Linked DNA regions of Lonchura striata. The protein of the gene in region 2 interacts with the protein of the main gene of each other region in a pairwise test. Links are inferred from orthologs where the notes say so. Each region holds a gene or a part of one and is shown on either strand. Other genes may lie near its edges.

Region 1 (7,744 bases), about 61 Mb from region 2:
TAGACTGTAAAGACTAAACAGTGAAATCTATGTTACACATATCCTTGATCTTTCTAGTATTATAAAATAAAAAACAAATTCCCCTACAGGGAGGAGGTCCTGCCTGGACACATAACTAATACACACACAGCAGGATACTTGTTCCCCTTCACTTCTCCTGCACAGTACGGGTTTATTCCATGGGAGAAGTCAAGAGAATGTATGTCCTAAATAAGGCCACACATAATACAAGTTCCTCTCCACCTGGAGCATTTGGCAAACTAATGAGGAAGATCCCCGATTCCAGAGAAGCAAGTAATTCACAGGACTACAGAAGAGTTCCTTGAGAAGAACTGAACAGCACAGAGATGAGCTCCAGTCTGTCTAAAGTTGTCCCAAACAATGCTCTGATGCTTCCAGAAATACAGGGCATTAAGAGGCTGTGTTCACATCTCAGAAGCGATGTATCAATCTCAAATTATTCCCAAAAGAAACAGAAATCCATCCTAGCAGCAGAATTTGCAGGAAGTAATGCTTAATTCCACTTTACCAAAACAAAACCAAACCAGGGGGAAAAAAATAGCAGCAAGTAAAGAAGAGGAATCATTAGACAGATAAGAATGTGTGAAGAGAAGAGAAAAATCAAAATTTCCAATCAACATGTAGCAAAAATACAAATTCAACTTAGTAGCTCCATGCAAATAAAGGGCATTTTTAATTGAATAAAATCTCATGTGCAATTCTAAACATTAAAAAAATAGTGTTTACATTCCAGGGTAGACTCTAAAGATTCTAGGAAGTTTATCAGGTCCTACCAAAAGAAGAAAATATGAAGAGCATTGTTTACATGTAGTAGGCCTACAGATGTCATCCTCAAAGTATTGAAAGCACAGAATGCTTTTTGCTTACATACAGTGTTCTTTGAAAAGCTCTTGTTTATCTACAAAACATTTATGAATCCATCTACCCCTAATTAGTATTTTAAAAATAAATAAAAACTGTAATAATTACCAGGGTAATATCAAATTTCCAGTGCTTTCTACCAACGGCCTTCAGAAAGTTACACACATCTAATAGCTTTAGAGACCACAAATCAAAGCCTTCTAACAATTGAGAGGTGGAAGACTACATCAAAAAAAAAAAGTCTGAAAGCACTGGCTTTTCCAAGTAATGCTCATAACTTGGACAAAGTGGAAGGAAGAGAAGAGTAAAAATCACTGCTTACATACCATTTCAGATTATAAACCCAAAACTTCACATGAAACAGGTTTCTCAGGCCCTTTTGATTAAACCACACCACATGCCTCCCCAAAGCTTCAGTTTACCACATTCAAGGTCATTTTACCACTGGTGCAACATTCTAAACATTTTCAAGTATTATCTAAGACTGGGTTTGCCAAATTTGTATCAAGCCTCACACATTATCAGGAGTGCTGTTTTACATAACATGCTGCTGCTGTCAGGTGCTGGAGTTAACATCACTGTAGATCTGCTGAGCTGTATTAGCATGCTCAGTGCTTCTCCTTCCCTATTAAGCATTCAGATAACATGAACTAAGCTTAACATTCATGTCTGCAGAAAGGCTGCCATGGTACAACTCTTCCAAAATTTTTTTACCAGTGAAAACTATTAATAAAAAAAAAAAAACCTCTCATGAATCGAGACGACAAATTTTCTTTCACAGAAATATTTTTCTGTTTTGTTTTTAGGTGTTAGGCAACACTACAATACCAGTCACATAATGCTGACAGGAAAAAAAAGTTGTCGATCTTCATGACAACGTTGCGTAACAGCTGTATTTTCTGTAAAAGCAGATTTTCTAAGACTCTTCAAAAATTTTTTAAAATAATGTTAAGGTACACATCTATTATTGTGCGGTTTCTGATAGAAATGGAAGACAACTGAGAACCAGGATTCTTAATGCTGCAAACAGCATATGAATATGTTTCACATATACTATGTCGCTTTCTTTCCACCCCCTTGTAGATGTATTTTCTTACAAGCCATTGAACGTGAACGTTTTCTAAATCAGACAGCACTAAATAAAAGGGAAGTTAAGCTTTATCCTACAGTCTCAGTGCTTCCAGCTCTACTTAACAAATGTCTCAGCAATTTTTCCTCAAACTGTGGCACGGTTTGTATCCACCACCATTCTAGATGCAGATGCCTATCTGCAAAACTTGCTAGGATTGTGCATATAAACGGCACTCGGGAGATGGCCGAGAAGATAAATAAAATCACTGCTTGAAGAAATATAATCCAGATAAGCATTAGATGCAGCAGTCCCGATGCATTAATTAAACGGAAGGAAGAAGCGCTCTAGCGCCTTAACATGCCCTGGACAGAAGTAACGAAAGGATGCGCACGCCAGAAAAAGCCGTATTAGTCTGTGCCCGGCGAGGAGAACGCCTGCAAGTTAGTGGGAACCTCCGCGGGGAGGGGACAGGGTGAGAGAGGTGGGTTTTTTCCACAAGCCAATTTTTGCAAAGGGAGTGCGATCGCAGTTTTCGCGCTGGGGACGGCTGCTCGGTCAGTATCCGCAGCAGCGCACCGCCCGCGGCCGGGGCGGCAGCGCGGAGCGGTGCTGCTGGGGAGGCGCCGCTCGCCCCCGCCCGCCCGCCGCCCCTCACCGTGCCCGGCGCCCCCGGCCGCCCGCCCTGCCGCTCATCCCGGGGGCCAGCGCAGCCCTCGGCCCCCGCCCGGCTGCGGAGCCACACGCCGCCGGCGGAGAGGGACGGGCTCGGGGCTGCGGAGCCGCTCCGAGCTGCCCCCGCCCGGCTCCCACCCCAGCCGGTCCGGGCGTCGCCCCCGCAGCCCCCGGCCCGCCCGGAGCCCCGCCACAGCGCGGAGGGGAGGGAGGCAAGCGCGGCGCTTACAGTTCGCAGGAACTGGATCTCGTCCTCGCCCTCGCCCCCCTCGGCCATGGCTGCCCCTGTCTCTCCTTCTGCCGGGCGCTGCTCCCGGTGCCCGGACGGGCGGCAGCGGCGGTCGCTCCCCGCGGGCTGGCGGCGGCAGGAGGGTCACGGCCGCGCCGCACCGGGCTGGGGCAGTGCGAGGGCGGCAGAGCCGGCGGCCCCAGCCCGGCCCCGGCTGCGAGCGGGGTGCGGGTGCCCGTGCGCCTGCCGCAGGTCGACAGCGCTGCCCGGCTGCCTGTGCCTGCCGCGGGGAGGGGGATGCGATTAACCGGGGGAGGAGGGGAGGCGGAGCTCCGGCCCCCCCGCCGCTGCAGGTGATCCGCAGCCCGCTCCCTCCGCACTCCAAAGGCGCCGCCCAGCGCCCCTTGCCGGAGCTCCGCCGGGAGGCGGCTGCCGCCCGCCCGGGGCCGCTGCCCCAGCCGCCGTGCCCGTTCACCTCGCACGGCACAGCCTGGGGCTGCCTCCGCCCCTCCGGAGTCTCCAGGGCGGCCGCTCGGCGCCCTGGCTGCCGGGCACGGCTGTCCCGCAGGAGTTAGGCGTGACGTGCTGCACTGAGGGATACCTCGGGAGAGCGAGAGCTGAACGGCTCTGCGCCGGTTATTTTGTCAGCCGACTACTGTCGGGGAGAAGAGATGGAAGGTACAACATGGCTTCACCCGGTGTTGTACTTGAACCGTCGCGTGAATGAGCTTAACCCAGGGTGAATGTAAGGCTTTGAAATCTAATTTCCTTGAAGAATATATACCATGCGTTTTCCATAGGGTGAAGTCAAGGGTTGCCAGGGAATGGCTCATCTTTCATGAGCATTCGTGTAGATCATACTTTTAAGAGGACACCTATGTCCATCAGAGACATGATGCTTGGCCTACAGAAAGAAGTCTGACAAGCCAGAGAGCCACCAGACTCCTAACAGCAACAGCACTCTGAAACAAGCGTATAGCAGAGAGCCTCTGCTAGTGCAATGCAATAGTCATGAGGGGAGGACAACAGGGTATCTCAAAAAAGAGTAAAATTAACACTGGATCATTGACAGAGTAAAATGTGTGCGAGATGTACAACTGCAGAAGGCTTCCGAAGGACCAAAACTGGTAAACGTAATGAAATCTCAATTATTTTGGTAAACAGACTGTATGACTAGCATTGCAAAATACATGGAAAGTGCTTCTAGAGAAGCTATACCCATAATCTGTAACTTTATGCTGTTCAAGGACATCGTGAAAAAGCGTGGCACTCTGAGATTTTATCATTATTTCCAACAATGGAAAACGTGTTCATCTGACAGATTGGAAACTGCAAGAGCAGTCATGACCCATAAGACCTCTAGAGCAAGTAATGTATGAATGTTTAATATAGAGATTCTGAAGATGAACTCCAGAGTTATGACAGCTTAAGCATTTCCTCTGTAATATCCTGGTTTCAGTTACTACTGACTTCAAGTGACTTTTACCTCTCAAGACTACTACTGACTGAAAGTATATTTTTTTTAAGAATTATAAAGACATTTTTTGATGTTGTTTATTCATATTTAACTCAAACCTCTTAAGTATCTCTTCTCTAAATTATTTAGACTGAGAGATATTTATTGAAATAGACCCCAATTATGAAGTCCTGAATTTGGATAAGTTTAAAAAATTAGATTTCATGAAAAGGCACTGAACAAATTATCTTTTATCATACTATCCTATCTCTTTCTCCTGCTCAGCACACAAGTCAGTTCCAGCACAACTATTTGTCAATGTATTTCATATGGTTGGAAATCTCAGTTCACCTGGTCAAAGGTCTGGATCATAGAACATCCAGGGTACTCTCCATAAGGCTATGAATATGAGTATCAGATTAAATGCCTTTTTTGTTTGCTGCATGTAAAGCAAGGACATTATAGAGAAAGGAAAGAAAAAAAATTGTAATTAGTTCAATATAACATCCGTGCCTGAAACATTTTGTAGTTTTCAGCACATTATGTCATCTTGGAAATCATTCCAAGAACAGTTGAACTGATCATACCTGGTTTCTTATAGATTTGGAGCTCATAATTAGACTCCTTGGTGTTTACAAAGACAACAACTTCACATTAATCTTCTCCATGCTAGGGCAGTAATATTTCTCTAACACACAGTTTTTTTGGTGTCTAATATGAGTGAAATGTATGCTGCAGTTTTTCAGACACCAAAGACTGTTATCTGGTATCTTCTTTACCCATGCATCTGTTCTAATGAAATGGCTAGGAGCATGTATGATACTATTAACCTTCCGTGAAATTGTTGGAATTTTCCACTTAGTTCAAAAGATATTATTCAGTAGCAGAGACACATGCACCATATTAGATAATTTGCTTAGGAAACAAAGTTTAAAAGTAGTAAAGATTCCTCCAGAAACTTCCTGAACAGGGTGATAAGGCATAATGTAGATGGAAGCTTCTTGTTAAATTAGTCATCAAGGACAAATATTCATATGTGCAGTACACATGTGCAAAAATACATATTAAATATAGTTCCAGCATTTTAGCTGATGTGATGTATTTCTCAGAAGTTATGTTTAACTGCATTGAATAATTAAAAGCAACTGATTGGTTAAAACAATGGAAAATAATGGTTAAAAATGGAAAAACATTATCATTTCTATCATAACAGGAAGTAATATAAAGTTCACAGAATTATTTCTTCAATGAACTAGTGGGAAATGTGGAAAAAATAAACACTCTCCATGGCTGATATTTACAGGTGGAATTCAGAAGAATTGAATATTTTGTGTGGGTGTGGAAGAACAGGGGTCCCTGCTCTAGGAGTGGCAGTCCCAAGGTTCAAGACGCCAGTAAACCCCATAGCAATTCACTTTGAGTTCCCCACTGTTACTTTAGTCTCTATTACATCTCATCACGCCCCCTGTTTTCCATAAGTCTGGCGATTTTTATCACTGATAACTGTGCTTTCCACAGAAAAAATGCAGAACAAAAGTTTCTACTTCTGTCAAAAGAATCCTGTACTAGTTTATGAATTTAAAGGCTTGAACACAACCTCTGGAGCTTAACAAAAAGTTTTCACAAGAAAATTAGCATTCCCTTTCAGCTCTAGTTTATGTTTTGTAAGCCATCCAGTTGTCTTGCATGACATGCATGTACTATGTCTACTTCTTTTTCACCCAATCTAGAAGCAGCCTTTCAAATTTTTGGTCCAGTTCTCCCACCTAATAAACCTGCTTCTTACTGTAGACTTTTTGTGGTCCCATTCTTGTTATGTTCTTCTTAAAATCTCACTTGAAATCTGCACATGTCCATGCCCGTTTGTAATTGTTACTACGACAGATACTTAGTGCATTTTGCCTTTGCTCAGCAAGGCCTTCTTGCTCCTGCAAGCCTCAATTATCAAGGCAGCAGCACTGTGAAGATCCATAATATGCCCTTAGCAATTTTCACAAAAAAACCCAGGTTTCTTTGTGTGATGCAGAGGCAGTACAGCAGCACCAGCATGACAGCGCTTCTGAGGTATCACAGCAGGATTCTGAACTGAACATAAATTTACACTAAGAATTTTAGCACTTTCATTTCATAAATTTTAATGATCTAAATTAAATATTAGAAGAAGGTTCATAGGTAATTTTGTGTGCACAACTCAAAGTAATATTCTATGCAAAACAAACAATGTTTGCTGTTTGTAATAATAAGTATTGTGAACATTCAGTTTTCAGTAACATGAGGGGAACTCCCAGGTGTTTATTTGTTTTTTATAGCAGACTATACTACCACACTCTTTTTTCTTCTTGGAAGAACAGAATAAGATAATGCCAATAGCAATTTAAAGGGGCAGATACTATCCTTTCTTCCTGGTGCTGCTCTTTCTTACAGCTCTTTCTACAGTCTTGTCAGACTTTTCAGCCAAATATAAATCTTGCAAACATGTTATTCCAAATACTGCAAAACTAGAAAGATTGCATCTCCTATCACATGTCATAAATCAACACCCTGTGATCAATGAAACTGAGTCAATGTAAAATCTATGCCAGTTTAGATCCCAAATGTGACTTGGAAAGAATAAAATTAGTAGACCCAATTCTGCACAAAATTTAAAATATTTTACTGCAGATTAGCAGAGTTTAAGTGAGAGTAATTATGTCTAAGATCACATAGTTATATGCTTGTCATGATAACCCTGGAGTTCAATAATATACTGCATTTTCTTCAGTTAGTGTTTAGTCTGAACCCATAAAGTACAGTATAAGTGTTAATTACATGTCTGTCATTAGGTACATGTTTTGTACTCTATAAATAGCCTGTATGCACAATTTTACACAGGATACAGTGTTATAATAAAATTTAGACAACCAAGCTTATCCTTTTATAGAAACTTCTGTTCTGCAGCTATTATGAAGCATTCTTCCTGGCAAAGTTCAAAGCTTTTAACTTATTTTTTGTTATTTGATATCGGGGGGGTCGGGGCGGGGGCAGGGGAAGAAGGGAGGGTGATTATTAAGATTAAAGAGGAGGTATGGATCTTGTAGGTTATCTTTTGGGGAAAAATAGTTTGCTTGTGTTTTCATGTTCCTGCATCCTTTGAGGTTTTTATTGCTCTTCTAATCTTTTTCTGATGTACTCTGATAAATTCCCTGGAAGCTGTGGGGAGGCACCAAACCAGAAGTGGGTTTTTGAAGGTGGCTTTTTTTGCCTTTTGGTCATTTTGGAGGGCAATAACATGTTTCTAAAAAATGTTGGTTTAAATTAAAAGAGCACATTAAATTGCATCCTTAAAATAGAATTTCCTGGTTTTCTCAGTCTTGCAACGGGTTATGTCATTATGTAACTATATACATGTACTATATGACTCTAATGTATACAAAGATACATCCATTTCACACTT
Region 2 (7,944 bases):
AAAAGGTTGTAAAGCATTGGGTTGTAAAACACTGACTGCCCAGGCAAGTGGTGGAGTCACAACCCTTTCAAGTGTTCAGAACACACACGCATATGGCATCTGAAGGCACGGTTTAATGGTGAACATGGTAGTGGTGCCGGGTTGACGGCTGGACTTGATGATCTTAAAAGTCTCTTCCAACCTTAACAACTGCATGATTCTATGACTGTGTGTTACCAAATCACTAATATGCAACACAGGAATGGGATGGTTTAGGGCAAAAGGTCCCAGTTTGGCTGTGTTTAGCTCTTAGACCAAGTAGTATTTTTCCTAGATAAGTCTCCCTATATATACACGTGAATTACATATGCATTTACATTCTGTAAGTGCAAAAGGACAGTCAAAATCTCATGGATTATAACTTTTAATAATTCTCAGAATGTTTTTGCTATAATTTTTCAAATAAAGTCTCAGTCTGACATTGTGAGAAAATCCATTTGTATTCACATCTCTAATGCCTTCCACGCAAGAAAGACAGCTCTGTGAGGGCATCTTTAATTAGCAGGAATGGGGTTTACAGAAATTTTCACAGACAAAAGCAGTTTAATTTTGTAGCATCAGGCAACAGTAAAGCAGTAGTACACTGAGTTCTTTTAAGAGCTTGATAGCTCCTCCTAAAATGTTCATAGTGAAAGGAAAAAAAGCTTAAATTATTTGCTTGACACAAGATGAAATTACCATTTCCATTTTACTTGTTCTAGGCACTGCTAAAGGTACTGAAACCTAAGGGATGACTCTCAAGGCTCAATTAGGTGCCAATGGTGTATTAAAGATACTAACCATGATTTCTCAAGGTTGGCCAGGGGAGTGCCCAGGTTCAGAAGAAATTAAAAATATCAGTGTGGTTAATTATTAAGGAACATCCTTGATAGAAAGTTAAAAACTGGGGATTGAGTTAGGTTGTCCACAAAAGCTGTGGATGCCCTATCTCTGGAAACATTCAATGTCAGGATTGATGGGGCTTGGAGCAACCTGGTCTAGTGGAACATGTCCCTGCCCATGGCAGGGGAGTTGGAAGGAGATGATCACTAAGGTCCCTTCCAACCAAACCATTCTGTGATTCTATGAAACTGAGGCTCATCTCTTAGTTGGCTTTTTGGCTGTTTGGTCAAAATTAACATGATAACAAGTTCTGCATTACAGAGCACTTCAAAGGGTATAAACCAGCAGGTAGCACACAAGCTATGGCCTTAGGGATCACATGCCAAAACCACATGAGCAATAAGTGGTGAAGGGCAGGATAATATGATGAACCAAGATTTACAACACAAAAATTGATAAAGTGGTACTTCTAAGGGCTACCTGAACAGCCTTGTTCATTGGCTTGGCTGGCTGGAATATCCCTTATTGCACGTTGCACAAAATGCAGCAGGAATCTTTTAAGGTCACCATGGTATGCTAAAGTGGGATCCATCTCTTTTAAATTCACAGCCATTTAAACCACGGGCAACTATCGCATGCCAGTCTCCTGGGCTTCCTCTATTGACAGCAAAGAATTAGCAGTGCTTTGAGAGAAAGCCAGCCTATCCAAAGGAAGGCAAGACAAATTATTCCCTCGAGATGGCCACAGAGAAAACCCAGAAGACTGCTTTAGACTAGCCAACTAACCTGAGAAAAGTTATGTGAGATGAATCCTACCGCCAATAAAACAGGTATTATTAAAATGATCCACTATTATACAGAGATCTGAGAAAAGCAGTTTCAGACCTTATGGACACACACTCTGCTCTGTGAGTTTACCATCAGCAAAGCCAATGAAGCTACATAATTTCACATCAAAAATAAATTAAAAGCAGAGATTCGCAAGACCACTGACTCACTGTGGCTTAAGACAGTGTTTAAAGTCAGCTGATTTTGATTAAGACTTGCAACCAAGAGAACTAATCCATATAGCCTTATTTGGAATCACATATTACTTACAATGACAGCCGTGATCTATTTAATAGATAGTAAGTACTACTGTGAGGTAGTTCCATCCTCCTTCCTACTCCCAACTCACCACCATTATTTATGTGGGTATAAGTATTCTTTTTTTACATCTGTGAAACCAAGAGAAGAATTCGATCTCTAGAGCAAAACAGCACAGAGGGAGAAGCCAATTAGAAAGCATACACAAAGAATGGAAAGATACTGGGCCAAGAAACTTAATCTGCAATCAACTTGAACAAATTATTTATGGTTGCATATCAGCCAGTGATGAATCTGGCCTATTATATAGCTACATTTGTATGTTAGAAATCACATTATCTTAAAAGAAAAAAAAAAAAAAAAAAAACAAAAAACAAAACACAAAAACCTTACGGAATTATAATGCCAAGGAAGAGTAGAACACTGCGAATTGGCTCACGAAAGCCAAGCGCCAAGGAGAGGTGACTGCCACCCGGGCTGCACATCAGCCCTCGCCAGCATCCCACGCTGGACCGGGAGGCGGCGGCTCCTTGCCGGGGGATGCCGGCACGAACGGTCGGTGGCCCCGGCGAGGCCGGGCTCGCCACCGGGGAAAGTTTGGGCTCCCCGCCGGGCGCTGGCGCTGACCCCGCGCTCGGGCCGTGCAGCTGTCAGCGGATGCCACAGGAACCCCGGCCCCCTCGCCGCCGCTGCCGCCGCCGCGACCCCGGGCGGGCGCCTGGCCGCGCTCCGCCTCTCCCGCACCGGGGGTTCGTGCCCGCGGCGCTGCGGGGGCGGCCGTGCCTCCCTCCCGCCCGCCCGCTCCCCGCGCTCCCCGCGCTCCCCGCTCCGCCGCCGGCGGGGACGCGGCTCCCTCGCTCCCGGAGCCCCGCGGTGTCCGGCCGGACCCTCCGTCCCCGCGCTGCGGGGCTGCCCCCGGCACGGCTTCGTACCGTCTCCCGGAGAGATGGTCTCGATCTCCACCCCCATGGCGGCACCGGCTCCACTCAGCCCCGCTCCCCGGCGCGGCCGGACCCCCAGTGCGGGCAGTGCCCCTGGGCGGCCGCGGGCAGGGGCCGCCCCGGCTGCCCGTCAGCGCCCGCAGCCAATGCGGGGCAGGGGCGGGGAGGACGGGGAGGGGAGGGGAGGGGTCCGCCCGCCCCCGCTCCGAGCGCCCGGGGGCCGCGGGGACCAGGGGAACCTTGCGGCGGGGGCATCCCCCGCCGGCATCGCTCCCCCGCCCCACGGCCGTGCGGAGGGTGCTGCTGCCATCCCTCGGGCAGGGCTGGCTTTAGCGATGGTGCCCGGCGGAGCGCTCCTCCGGGGGTCTCGCCGGCGTTTCCCCCCGGTGCCCGTGCCCGTGCGCAGTCCGAGCGGCGGAGGGCTCAGGGCGGCTGCGGGAGCAGGGGGTACCGGTGCGGTACTGCTGCAGGCGCGCTGGCCACACAGGGAAACCAAGCGCCGTGCTTCAGCCCGTCCAGACACCAGGACACGGCCGAGTGCGAGTGGAGGGTCGGAATTTCCCGGTACAAAGAGCCATGGAGGAAGGCATCCGTGCTCGCACGACGTGTGCGCTGAAGGGAATGTCCCCCCGGTTCTACCGGTGAACGGCAGCATCGGGGCAGTGGTACCCACCGCTGGTGACCCCACACAGCAGCAGCAGCGGCAAGTCTCCAGCAGGCTGGCATGACCTTGAGTTTCAGTGTAAAACAGTGTCTAAGTTCCTATTCATATCCATGTTTTAAACTGGAAAATCTATTTATGTGTGGTGTTCCCATGATGTAAGATTACATATTCAACCTTGCTACAACTACTTCTGGGGAATGTACCTGAAACAGACTATTTCCTCATGCACTTACAGTGTATTCGAATCTCAGGAGTTTCCACTGCCTCTAAAGGAATAGTTCTGTTTGCAGTTCTGTGTTTTCTGAGTTAAAAATAAAAATGGAACCACAACGTCATCAGTTTTTCAACTGAAAGAGCTGTCTGTATCCATCTAATTCCAACTTGCACTTCTCTGACATTGCTTTTTCAAGATTTTTATCTGCTACAAACTGGGTTCTCTTCAGGGAAAAGGATCTTTCTCTGTGTGGGCAGTTGTCAGGATGACTGAACTGAGGAATTACTGTGCTGGTTCGTAACTGCAATAATGTGGCCCTTGCTCTTGCATGCATGCTCTGAACTACACTGACCATCTCCACACAGCTTTTCACATTACTCTGATCAGACTGTTTCTTCTCCTGGGTGCTCAATTGTATCTATCTTTCTTTGTGGGTCAGATACTCTGAAATACCAGGACTGGCTGCCTCTCACTCCCAAAAATGGGCAGGTGAGGAAAATCAAGAGCTCACGCGAGTTCAGAAGCAGTAATGAGGGCTGAACATGGATTCCTTTCACCTGCCTCCCATTCCAGTGAATTCTGCATCTGCAGGTAGCATGTACAGAATAAGCAGGCACTTACTGAAGTTTATCAGAGGAGGTCTGTAACAGTGGAAATTCTGAAACGGGATTCTTTTCCATTGCCAGTCTCAGAGTGTCATTTGACTTCTGATCAGTAGAAAGATACTAAAAATGCATTTGAGAAATAGGAAAATGCCAGGTAGGAGGTAAGTGGCACAGAAACATGTGTCTTAACACATGAACATTGCTAATTCCAGAGGTGCCTCTGAGTCATTACAAAGCAACAAGGACAGCACAAGAAAAGCTGAGCACATAAGGGGAGTTATAAAGGGAAATTCTAGGTACATGGTGTCTTACACCCCCTCTTGACTTTACAAGAAAGAACTGCTTTCATCCAGGCTCCAGGTAGATGTCTGTGTCCTCTCAGATGATCAGAGCATCAGAAGGCATAAATGCAATGAACAAAAGAAAATGATTCTTTGCTGTGTTCACTTTAGCTTTTATAATTGCATGTTTCCTTTGATCAGGCTACACATCTCTCCACAATGGGAGAATAGGTTTCTCAAGTTGTGTCTTGTGACAGGAGATTGGACCTAATCACATAATAGACATAGTTCAGATGGGATCACAGAATATCTCCTTCAAGTTTCATCATAAGTACCAGGCCTTAAAGGCAGATCACAGAATACTCAGGCAGACTGACAATCATAATAAAAAAGCAAAGGCCACCAACAGCAAAATTCAGAAGCCACAAAATGGGATTAGGAGGGACCAAGCTGTGGAAAATGTTGTATCTACAATCTTCCTATCCGATAGCCTCTTGCCCCATGGTGAGACTGTAAATGCTTCTTTAGGGCATGAGTTAATTAGATCCCCCACACTCATTTTCCCAAGACTATGGAAAGAAAGGTAAGGCCAATTTCCAAGACAGAAAATAAGGATCTGTAGAAAGCATATCAAAGTTGTTGGATGAATATGTTAAAAAATCTTTGACACCACAGATATTGAACCAAAAATAAAGTTATTTTTCCCCTCACAGTATTCACTGGAGGCATCGAGATCCTTAAATACATGCTATAACAAGTCTATAGCACATGAAGATCTAGGAAGAGTAGACTAAAATGAGGAATGCCCACATCTTCAGGAAAGGCTCTGAAATACAAGAAAATGTGGTTTAAAACTGGCAGGGAATTGGAGGGGAAACAGAAAGGACAAAGGGACTAAGAGGGAAAGTTCATGACCAAGAAAATTGATAAAATCAGATTATCAAAGCAGACCAGATTAGTGTATTAAGAATGCTCTTTGAAAGTCATTGCATGTCATTCACCTGCACCACCTTTGGGATCCAGTGTATCTGTTTCAAGGGCTAAGTCCAGTAGTCTCTCTCTCCAAAGCTCTGTAGAGCTCACGTTCCAAGTTGTTTACCACAAGACCTTCCCACAGCATGTTTTTCTATCCTGGCACCAGAAAGACCAGGCTGGAAAAGTGGAGGGCTCTCTCAACACTTATTCCCAAATATTTTGATAGAACCACATGACTTCAACATCTAAGATTACTCAGTGGTCACAAAGAGGACAATTTGCCACAGTCATTATGAGAAAAACCCAAAACCTCAAAGTTTAGCAGATGAATATCCATCCCTGTTTTTTTTGTTTTTTTGTTTTTTTTTTTTTGTAGTTAAAACCCCTACAGCCAGCACTGTTTACAAAATATTTATGCATTTCCACTTTTAGGAAGACAAACAGTTTTCAAATTTTTTAGGGTGTTTTAACGTTGTTCATAGCTCCTATATTGTGAAATCCCATTCTTCATTGTTTTTAAAATCTACAAAGCATCTACAAATCATGTGTAATAGATTCCATATGCACACAAAGAACACCCCTGGAAGGCAAAGCACTAAATTTTCCATAAATGGAAAGCACAAATTCTGCAAATGTAAAAATTCACAGAGGCCACAAAACACCCCCAAGAATGCACATTTCCCTCACCAGCATCCATGGATAAAAAGCCAGCATTGCTTTGAAATCCAACCAGTGTGATATGAATAGTGAAAACAAACTAAAAATGTGTTACCAATACTGACCTTTCCATTCAGTGAACCAACATGTGCAACCAAGTAATTTTAATCCCAAAGTGTACAGGTCATGCAAAAACAGCACCTCACTGGAAAAAATCCTGACCAAAAAAATAGCAGCCTGCAGAGCTCAGCAGGTCATGTCACTGCGAATGTTCCTGTGCATCATGAGCATTGACAAAAGAGAGTCAGCCAGAATCCATGATTCCTCTCAAAGCACATGCTTAGGGTAAGTCTGACAGCACACCCACAGTGACAGCCATGTGATTAACAGATGAAACCCAAAAATCTCATTGTGCCTGTCTCACTTCTCACCACTGCTGGTTACCACAGGTCTGCAGCACAGTCACCTCCTCCCAACTGATACTTGTTCCAAATGCCCCAAAATGGAATAACATTTCCTCCTGAAGTGATTATTCTGAATCCTCATCTTCCTCTTTGAACTACTTATCCACATCTGTATCTATAGTTTCATCTTGCAGGTGTAGCTCTGAGTGCAAACTGCAGCTGGATTTTTTCAGTAGCACTAAAACTGCCTTGAAAGCCACCACCTCTCTCACCAAGCTCTTCTCAACTCAGATGTTCACATATTCTCTCACAACACTTATATGTGAGTCATTATTAAGGTCTCAGACCTGATCTTCAAAGCCTTTTACAGGACCAGGTGAGGTAACCTCAGGTATGCACAGGGAAGACTCCAGCTCATCAGGATATATGCCAGCAGCTACTAGAGTCAAGAAATTGCTAGTTAAGTTCTGGAATGGAAGTAAAAATTCCACTAGACCAACATCTTAATAATGAAGCTTGCTTCCAGAAGAGATTAATGCAATCACTTCCAAAACCACATGAATTTAGACAGACTCATAGTCTCACATACTTGTCTCCCCAGTACAAGGACATACTGCAGCAAGCCCAGCCATTCCAATGTTTTTAGTGGTTGGAGAACATGGAGAGAAGGAGGGAGCTGGTTTTGGGAAGCTCTGTCTTCTTCAGCCTGCAGAAGACAGAGAGAAGAAGGATCTCAGTTACTGTCTACAACTGTCGAACAGGTGGTGGAGAGGATGGTATCACACTCTGCTCAGAGATGCCCAACAAAAGGACAAGAAGCAATGGACACAAGTCATAGCAAGGGCAATTCTGAGTATATATGGATAAAAAAATCTTCAGAAGATGAGTTATCAAACAAGGCCTAAAGGAACCAGAACAAACTGATGTCAGCTGTGTTCCAAGCAAGAAATTGAACCATATGGCCTTCAAAGATCCCTTCCCCTAAACTGATGTATGAGTCTGTAATATTTTTCATGCAACATGGAGAAGGAAATGAAAAAATGGTAGTGAGGTTAACCACAATTCCAACATTGACTGCAGGATCTTAAATCAACTTGCAATGCATAATGCTTCAAAGTGGTTAATACACTAGCTAGCACCTCAGATGCAATATAAATATGAAATTGCAACATCCATCCAGACTAATTAGCACACATGCAGATTGCTGCAGTGATATCGCTTCACTGCCTACTCCTTTGAAGGCAGCTTGCTGAATT

The links.
Region 1: the proteins of FKBP1B (region 2) and RYR2 interact in binary tests that used the Homo sapiens proteins (3 or more experiments, as listed by UniProt). The link is inferred for Lonchura striata from reciprocal best matches to the Homo sapiens genes FKBP1B and RYR2.

The regions. Positions count from the first base shown.
Region 1 is NC_134605.1:45,947,422-45,955,165, reverse strand, and holds the start of RYR2 (ryanodine receptor 2), read right to left. Parts: upstream 3,017-7,744; 5' UTR 2,904-3,016; coding exon 2,856-2,903; intron 1-2,855. UniProt on the Homo sapiens protein: Cytosolic calcium-activated calcium channel that mediates the release of Ca(2+) from the sarcoplasmic reticulum into the cytosol and thereby plays a key role in triggering cardiac muscle contraction. Aberrant channel activation can lead to cardiac arrhythmia.
Region 2 is NC_134605.1:106,842,391-106,850,334, reverse strand, and holds the start of FKBP1B (peptidyl-prolyl cis-trans isomerase FKBP1B), read right to left. Parts: upstream 3,015-7,944; 5' UTR 2,917-3,014; coding exon 2,880-2,916; intron 1-2,879. UniProt on the Homo sapiens protein: Has the potential to contribute to the immunosuppressive and toxic effects of FK506 and rapamycin. PPIases accelerate the folding of proteins. It catalyzes the cis-trans isomerization of proline imidic peptide bonds in oligopeptides.